Linked DNA regions of Oryza sativa Japonica Group. The protein of the gene in region 1 interacts with the protein of each later gene in a pairwise test. Links are inferred from orthologs where the notes say so. Each region holds a gene or a part of one and is shown on either strand. Other genes may lie near its edges.

Region 1 (4,305 bases):
ACTAGCTTTAACAGCTCAGGGAAAGTAACATAAACACTGTACTCACCAGCAACCTAATAAATCCCAGAATGTAGAAACCCCATGCCTGCAGATAAGCTGCTTTTAAAAGCATAAAGTGATCTAAGCTTACTTGTGCCATCGCCAACATTCTTCAAGCTTGTTTGCTCCAGTTAATACACACGAGAAGCAAGTTCATAGAATGGGAAAACAAATGATACATTGTGCCTACTGCAGAAGCAAATGGTTTGATCTTTTCCGAGAGTAAAAGGGAAAAGATGTTCTAAGAAAAAAAAACATCAAGGCTGCATGCAGTAAAAATACCTGCTTGTGTGTATTTGTATTTCCCAGGATTTTTTAGTCTTCTAATGGTTGTACCAACCATTCGCACATTAAATTGCTCAACAGTAACTCAGATAATATGTCTAACAAAAATTACCAGAAGACATAATTTCTGCTGGAGCTCTATATTACTTATCCACTAAGTACATCAACAGAGCCCACATGTTTAGAAATGGATAACAAAGAAAAGACTGTCCGAACCACCCAAACCAATACATGTCAATACAAGATAAAAGTGTTATTTAAATAATTTGAGAAGATTATTTGGTTATTTTCTCCTTGGTTTAGCAAAATGCAACCAACATCATTATTGAGAAGCAAACAGCAAATGCATGCTTACACACAAAACAGTGAATGTATTGCCCAACTTGAAAATGAGAGTGCTATGAATACTGTTTGACAAAAACAAGAAGTTATTTTTGTTTGCTGCAAAAAAAAAGACTTGACAGAATAACTTATTTTTGTTCTTTACAAAAAAGAAGACTTCACAGCATTTTGTTTGATTTAGAAACAAATACTACAGACAATTCTGCCCATTGAAAATCGGAGAGAGATAGAAGATATCCCTTTCATCCTTTAGCACCTTGTTGTGAAATTCCAAGTAAGCAATATATAATGGCAGTGAACCAGCTTTTTCTTAAAACATGTTTTTGTAGATGAATTAGAACAACCAAACACCTTACCAAAGAGGAATAAGTCCACCTGCACTGGAATTTACCACATGTACTTACCCTTTTAATAGGCCCATAAGCTTCAAACTCCCGCTTGACCCTATGCTCAGACGTCTCATAGTTCTGTAAACGTTTGCTGGAGTCAATAGGAAGTAACATACAAAAATAATACCAACTATGTAGTTCAAAATAATTTGTGAATGATGCAACAAAAAAACTTACAAGTCTTGCAACAAAGAGTGTTTTGTATGGATCTCCAGTGGCATTGGGGTCACTCTGTGGGTCATCTACATTAAGAAACCACACCAATGATGTTATCAGTATCTATCATATGATACAAAGGGAAGAGCAGCTAAGAAAGAACTTACATTTCTGAAGCTCTTCAGCCACCTTAGCCGCACCTTGGTCAAGCTTACTTTTGCGGATCCTATCCTTCTTTTCAGCCTGCGTAAATAAAACATAATCACCAAGTCATGACCTGGAATGATGAAATGACAATAGGCACGAATAATACAGTAGATCTAGAAACAATAACAGACATGGAAAAAAAAAGAGTAAAGCCAGTAGTGCCAACAAAAAGCTGCGTATTTGACATAGTCACATACAATTACCAGAAGAAGAATTTTGGCAAACAAATGTTTGGACAGCTACACATGTCTTATTTTGAGAGAGTTTTCATGTGGTGAAAGTGGAAATATTCATCTCAGAGGTGGGAACATTTGACTCCAACTCTTACCTCGCAATTTCAGGTAGAACTTATTGGACCTAATTTTCCTGTGCTGACTATAGTGGAACAATGCTCAAACAGTCAAATTGTGAGTGACTTTCCAGCAGGTGTAGTCATAGAAGCTCACATACTAATACTAACAGTCTTAAGAAATCCTGATTGTTCAGAGACCAGCAAGCGTTCTGACACCATTACAAATAATTGATTTTGTCGATTGAAAAAAGCAACTATATGGTTGTGGAAACTATGCAATATGGTTATGGCCACACGAAAAGTATACCATTGGCATAAATACGACATGGTCACGACAACATAAGAAGTAGGAACATCTTGCACTACGGAGACATAAAACAAAATGCAACACTAACGATTGCGCTTCAAACGAGTTAAAATTGATACAGAAAACAAATTTGCAGCAGTATCAGTATACCTTGGTCTCGCATGTGGGGACGGGTGGCGCGTACTCAGGGTCACCGGGCTCCGCAAACTGCGACACGAACTGCGCCATCCCTGCAACCAACCAATCAACAACAAGAGTGAGTCCATCCATCAGGAAGCAACTCATCCACAAAATAAATCTAACAGACAAAATTAAAAGAAAAAAATATATTCATAATCCCCCTAGAACCGAACAGATAGAATAGAAGATGAGGCGGGTGAGGGAATATACCAGTGTAGGCCGGCAACTTGCGCTTCTCGACGGGCGGCTTGAAGTCGAGCGGCGGGCGGGGCTCGAAGAGCTTGAGCAGGTTGGGGGTGAGGCCCGTCGGGTGTCCCTGCCCCATCTGTGGTCGCGAGCCATGGAGAGAGATCTCAGATCGAGGCGGATCCGGAGAGGAGCTAGGGTTATAGCAGCTAGGGTTTAGGGGGGGGGTGGGGGCTTACCAGCTTGAGCTGCTGCACGTTGACGCGCTGGCCCTTGGTGCGGGACTGCATCCCGCCGCCGTCCGGGTTCCCCCGCATCATCCCGCTGCCGTAGTCGCCCATGGCCGCGGCGCCGGCGGTGGCGGCGGCGGCGCGAGGAGAGAGAGAGAGAGAGAAGCGAGAGGGATTTGCGATTCGCGAAGCGTTGGGGGATCTCTCTTTCTCTCTCTCGGGATATTAGGGGAGGAGAGAGAGAAGTAAAAAGAGGGGGAAGCCGAGACGGAAGAATTTTATGTGGGGCCCACACGTCAGCGCCCTCTCGCACGGGCCCATGCGTCGGTGACTTAGTGTATGCTTTTGCTGCCTGAGCGTTGCAGGGATCTTTGCTGCCGCTATTGAATCACGGGGGCTATAATCGTGTGTCACATTTTTTATAAATAGTAAAATGCCCGTGCTAACGCTACGGCGATATTTGATGATGCAAATCCCTTCTCTACTATTATAAAAATTGAAGATGTTTTCGTTAGAATTTTGGTACATCATCTGTATTGGAATAGGTTTTAATTTTATGTTTCTATTAAATCATACGCGTACGAAGTAATTAGGCATGCACCTTTTTACGTGCCCCTTGCCGCTTGCAGACCTGCGCCTGAGTTCATTTTCCACATACGCCTCTGTGCTCCTCTGCGATTGGGCCCGCAACACCCTCACGCGTGATTTTTCGCATGCCTGATTGGGCCCGTGACGTCCTCTTAAATCTACCCTATTAGCATATAAGCACTTTAAGGGAAAAAAAACGAGATTCCCACTTGATTTAATCTTTGGTAAAAAAAATACAAATTCCTACTTGATTTGATCTTATCAGGCCTTTATTTACCTGCATGATATCATCAGGCTTCCATTTACCTATATCTTCTTCAAGTTTATTGGACAACCTGATTGCAATTAAACGGCATATATTTTAGTTGTGGTAATTAAGAATTAACATTTAGTTACCAAACGTCCATCATTGATATTATTTGGATGCAAATCGACGCACATACCTCATGAGCACATGGGAATGAGGATATGAAGAGGAGCGCTGCTATAGACCTAGGGATGAAATGCTCCAATAACAAATGGTATAAGCACAGCAGAGCCATAATATATAGAACTGGCCATCGTTCCATTTTACTGCCTAACGATAGGTTGAAGGCTAGCAAGCCAAGGAAGGCTATATACCTCTCAGTTCTGACAACTACCTTTTCATGAACTCGTGGGCTTTTTTAAGCTAAACCTCAGAAGACAATAGGGAAAGCCTGTTTTTCATCTAAGAATAAAAGACTTGGCCTATTATTTTAGAAAAATTGGACCAAAAAACTCACAAACACTTGCCCATGAACCTGTCGGCTAAATATTGTAGTGTAAACTTATCTGCTGCAAGCAGCTTTGGAGTAAATCTACCCTATCCTAAACCTTTCTTACATGCATATTGTTAGTTTGTACCAAGCACAAGAAAATAAATCACTCACTTTAAAACCATCTCAAAATTACATATATGCCCACTTTCATCCATTAAAGGCATAGCTGCAACTTATAAATCTGAACTGTACATATATGTGTCAACCATGAGTTTACAATCGAAAGGGGAAAGAATGGAAAAACAGTTAGAAGAGATTATGCCCCAGCCTTGCTTCCATTGGCTCTGCACTGATCGAATAATCG
Region 2 (4,243 bases), on another chromosome or scaffold:
GCTTTGCATGAACTTTTCTAGGGACTGGAAGAATAACAGGGGCGGGAGGCACTTCGGTGGGAAGCGTGGTCGCCACTCGGACGGCCATGAAAGGGCAAATAAAGCTCGAAAAGTCGATGCTGCTGCTTAAAGGCCTCGTCGTCTTATACTAGTAACCTCAGCTTATGAGCTCTAGTGAGGAACGGAAATGTTTGCTCCGTTGCTTGCTTCCACAACTTTGGGAGCAAACCTTTTGTGTTGTGTTTCTTGTCGTGAGCTATGCTCTTTGGAAGTAAGAAACGGTGAACTCATGATGAAACGGAAAATTTTGTTCGGTCAAAGCTTGGGATGAATCCTTTACATGTATCTGATATATATACTAATACTTCCGTCATCTGAATATCTGATACATCGAGAGTCGAGACAACTGACAATGAGACCATGCCTCGTTATAATTTGTACCGCTGAGGCAGAGGCGGAGCGGGCGGCCGACGACGCTGTGGAGGAGGGCGGTGGCGGCAGCGACGCGGGAGCAGGCGTGTGTGGCTGGCAGCGGACAGCAGCGCGCGGGGGCGGGCGGTTGGCAGCGGCGTGAGACGAGGAGGGGGAACCGGTCAGTGGGCTCCGCACAGGGAAGGGGAAGGGAGAGGCCGCAGCAGCGCAGGTGTGTTCGAGCTCCGTGCCGCCGCGACGGTGGGGAAGAGGGGAAGGAGGATCTCGCCGCCGCTTCGCTCCACGTCCCACCGCCCTTGTTGCCTGTCGGTTGCTCGCAGCTGCCTCCGCCCCCTCCAACCCTCGTCCTCGGCTCCCCCCTGCTGCCCGCAGTTGCCTCCATCCCTTCCGGCAGCGGGTGCTCTCTCCTCTGTTCACCGAAAGAGAAGAGAGGAGAGAGAAAAACGATGACAAGTGGGTCCCACAGTATTTGTTTTTCTAACTGTAGGCGTAGGCTGAAAACCGCTTCGAATCGAGTTAGGATGGTAATTTATCTGGTTTTAAGAGTTTGGGGGTGTCAAATGTCCAATATTGTAATATTGTAGTTTAGGGGGGGGGTAAATCATACTACCAGTCTACCACAATAGTTCAGGGGGGTGTAATTCGTACATTTTCCTTTTAAAAAATTCGTACATTTTCCTTTTAAAAAATCATGAGCTGCAGTTAGGAGTTCGCTCGTTTAAGGTTAGCATGAGAGTTTTCTTATACAACTCCTTTTGTATTTCTAAAAGCGAACGGATTTAGAAACCGACTCATAAACGGATGACGTAACAAAGTACTGATAAAAACATCTTTAATTTTTATAATAGTAGAGAAGATAGAGATAGAGATTATAAGTACTACTATAATTTTATTTATAAACTTTGCCAAACTTAAATATGAAACGGAGGAGAGTAACTTTTGGACATCAAACGAACGTGGGTTTCTTTTCACCTACAAACCCGGGCCCGAGGGAAGGGAAACGCCGCGACGTCATCCGCACCGCACCCGATCAGAGCAGCCAGATCTTCCCCCCGACTTCCCGGGCCGTCTCCTCCCCTGCACCACCCCACCCCACCCCACCCCACCGGCGGCGATGGCGGCGGCTGCCCCCGCGACGACGTCATCCGCGGCCGCGAGGCCCTCCTCCTCCTCCTCCTCCTCGCGGCAATCCGACGCTCCTCTGCGCGCCGCCACCGTCTCCTTCCCTTACTCCCGTACGCGCCCGCCGGACAACCAAATTTTCTCTCCATCTGAGTCTTTTCTTACTCGTCCTGATTTCATTTTTCCTCTTCTCTGTAATTTGTCTACTTACGTGCAGCACGGCCGGCCGCGTTGGCTGCAGGCGCTCGGGCCTCGCGGGTTAGCCCCGTCGTGGTCGCCGCCGGCGGCGGGCACCAGCGGCTTATGGGGTCGTTGACTAACACCCAGGGGCTCAGGTTTGGAGTGGTGAGTTAGTGTGTCCTCCACTTCTCCCATTGTTGACTTGTGTATGACTGTAGATTGGGCTAACTTTGAGTTGACGCGGCTCTACATGGACATGCGAGATAGCTTCCTGCCCAATTTCTTACTGATTCGTGAAGTTTGATTGTGTGTTTTCTGTGCTTCACATGAGACATTGCTCCTGGCCAATTTCTAGCTGATTACTAGTAAAGCTTCCTTCCCCAGAGGAACTATTTGATTCGTTTGCTTTATTGATAATGCTGAAAACACCTGGTTGTTTGGTCTAAAAAATGTTGCTTTACTGAAACGCCATTGTTTACTGAAAAATCTCGACACCTTTTCTCCTCAACTGCCTAACGTTGTTGTTGTTGTTATTGTTGTTGTTGTTTTTTGTCCTACAGGTTGTGGCACGGTTCAATGAGATTGTCACCAACTTGCTACTGCAGGGAGCTCTTGAGACATTTGAGAGATATTCCGTCAAAAAAGAAAATATAACAGTATGCATCTTTCTTGTTCTGAGTGAATTTCTGTTTCAAAAAGATTGGAGTAATCCTGTGCCATCAAAATGTCATATCATTGTTCGAGCATTTTTCTTAACTAGTCTTGAACATCATTCATATCACCACTATTGTAACCGTTATTTTTTTAGATAATGACCACTATTGTAACCGTTATGCATGCATACAAAATTGTTTTGTTACCCTTGTTCCCGATGTTAAGGTAAAAAATACTTTTGTCATGAAGTATTGACCATGCATAGCACTCTTGTTGGATGACTTACCTACTTTGTAGGGTTAATATATGTTTCATGCCCATCCACCTGTTCCTTTCTTATTTCATTGTTCAGAAATACTGTTCTGAAGTAAAAAATGTAATGCAGTTTCTCTAGGCCCATTAACTATTTTCCTTTTGTTCCATGCTTGACAATGTATGAACTACATATTATCAGCATGTTTCATGGATTTGTAATTGTGAATAACCTTTCGATGTATGAGATGAACTTCACACATGTAGCATTCATAAGTAGAGGTTAACTAATGTTAGCATGGTACGCACTTAAGCTGTGTACAACCTTTGTTGCATATCAGACATATAAAGTGATCCACAAAACATATGAATTCAGACTTCATCCATGATTGGTAAACAGCCTTAGTTTGTTTAAGTTTCTAAATAGTTTCAGAAACTTTTGGTGCACATTGCCTCACTCTAATTCAAATGATTGTTTAGGTTGTAAGTGTTCCTGGCAGTTTTGAAATTCCTGTTGCGGCACAAAAGCTTGGGAAGTCTGGAAAGTTTGATGCAATTTTGTGCATTGGCGCTGTGGTAAGTTGTTTGCCTTTTTGTTCATATTACCATATATCATGGCTCCAAGATTGTGTCTAGGTTATTTTCCAGACACATCATAATTATCTGATTCAGATACTATATAGCCTGGTGCAGTGTGCCAAATAATGAGTTCTGAAATGTTTATGTAACTCATATTTTACAGGGTGTCTTTTAAACAATGCCAATCATATGTCTAATTTACACTGGACAAAATTCAACTAGGAGCTTTATCATAACTAACATAAGGGCCTGTTTGGCACAGCTCCAGCTCTAGCTCCACCCCTCCTGGAGCTGGAGCTCAGCCAAACAGTTCCAGCTCCACCAAAAATGGGAGTGGAGCTTGGTGGAGCTCTCTCACAAAATGAACTAGAGTTGTGGAGCTGGGTTTAGGTAGCTCCACAACTCCACTCCAGACCCAACTCCTAAAGCTAAATTTAGGAGTTGGAGCTTTACCAAACAGGCCCGTCTAGCTAACAATACTAAGTCACAAAGTATTTTCCCTTAATCCCACCGCTCTTGGCATGATAATACCTTTATATCTATTTTTTGCAAGCCCTTAGTTATCAGTAGTTGGTGCGATTTGATTACAGAAGTCTTCCTTATGCTAATTTGCAGATTAGAGGTGACACAACCCACTACGATGCTGTTGCAAACTCTGCTGCTTCAGGTGTACTGTCTGCTGGATTGTCTGCTGGTACGTTGCTTTCACCTCTTTGGGTGTAGTGCCTGTAGGAACCTAATTCTGTAAGTTTTTGTTTTCAGCTGGGGTAACTCTCAGTGGAACTTATGGCAGATTATTTATTATTTTTTTATTGTTGCACAGAGATCCCATGCATATTTGGTGTTCTGACATGTGATGACATGGACCAGGTAATTCATCATTCATTAACATGTATCTTACCAAAGTTTCTATTATTCCATATCCAATTTATAACTCGTCGTTTGTCAAGTAGTTATTCTGTACTTTTGAACCATAGTAATTTGAGAAGCAATGGATTTTGAAAGTTTCTTACTCGAAATGTAG

What was found.
Region 2: the proteins of U1 small nuclear ribonucleoprotein 70 kDa (region 1) and 6,7-dimethyl-8-ribityllumazine synthase, chloroplastic interact in binary tests that used the Arabidopsis thaliana proteins (3 or more experiments, as listed by UniProt). The link is inferred for Oryza sativa Japonica Group from reciprocal best matches to the Arabidopsis thaliana genes U1-70K and COS1.

The regions. Positions count from the first base shown.
Region 1 is NC_089044.1:1,015,671-1,019,975, forward strand, and holds the start of U1 small nuclear ribonucleoprotein 70 kDa, read right to left. Parts: upstream 2,809-4,305; 5' UTR 2,725-2,808; coding exon 2,623-2,724; intron 2,523-2,622; coding exon 2,408-2,522; intron 2,248-2,407; coding exon 2,168-2,247; intron 1,455-2,167; coding exon 1,379-1,454; intron 1,298-1,378; coding exon 1,233-1,297; intron 1,134-1,232; coding exon 1,071-1,133; intron 1-1,070. UniProt on the Arabidopsis thaliana protein: Mediates the splicing of pre-mRNA by binding to the loop I region of U1-snRNA.
Region 2 is NC_089038.1:25,376,254-25,380,496, reverse strand, and holds the start of 6,7-dimethyl-8-ribityllumazine synthase, chloroplastic, read left to right. Parts: upstream 1-1,437; 5' UTR 1,438-1,546; coding exon 1,547-1,667; intron 1,668-1,771; coding exon 1,772-1,899; intron 1,900-2,294; coding exon 2,295-2,390; intron 2,391-3,120; coding exon 3,121-3,216; intron 3,217-3,834; coding exon 3,835-3,913; intron 3,914-4,042; coding exon 4,043-4,089; intron 4,090-4,243. Other genes in the region: la protein 1, read left to right, coding at 22-130. UniProt on the Arabidopsis thaliana protein: Catalyzes the formation of 6,7-dimethyl-8-ribityllumazine by condensation of 5-amino-6-(D-ribitylamino)uracil with 3,4-dihydroxy-2-butanone 4-phosphate. This is the penultimate step in the biosynthesis of riboflavin.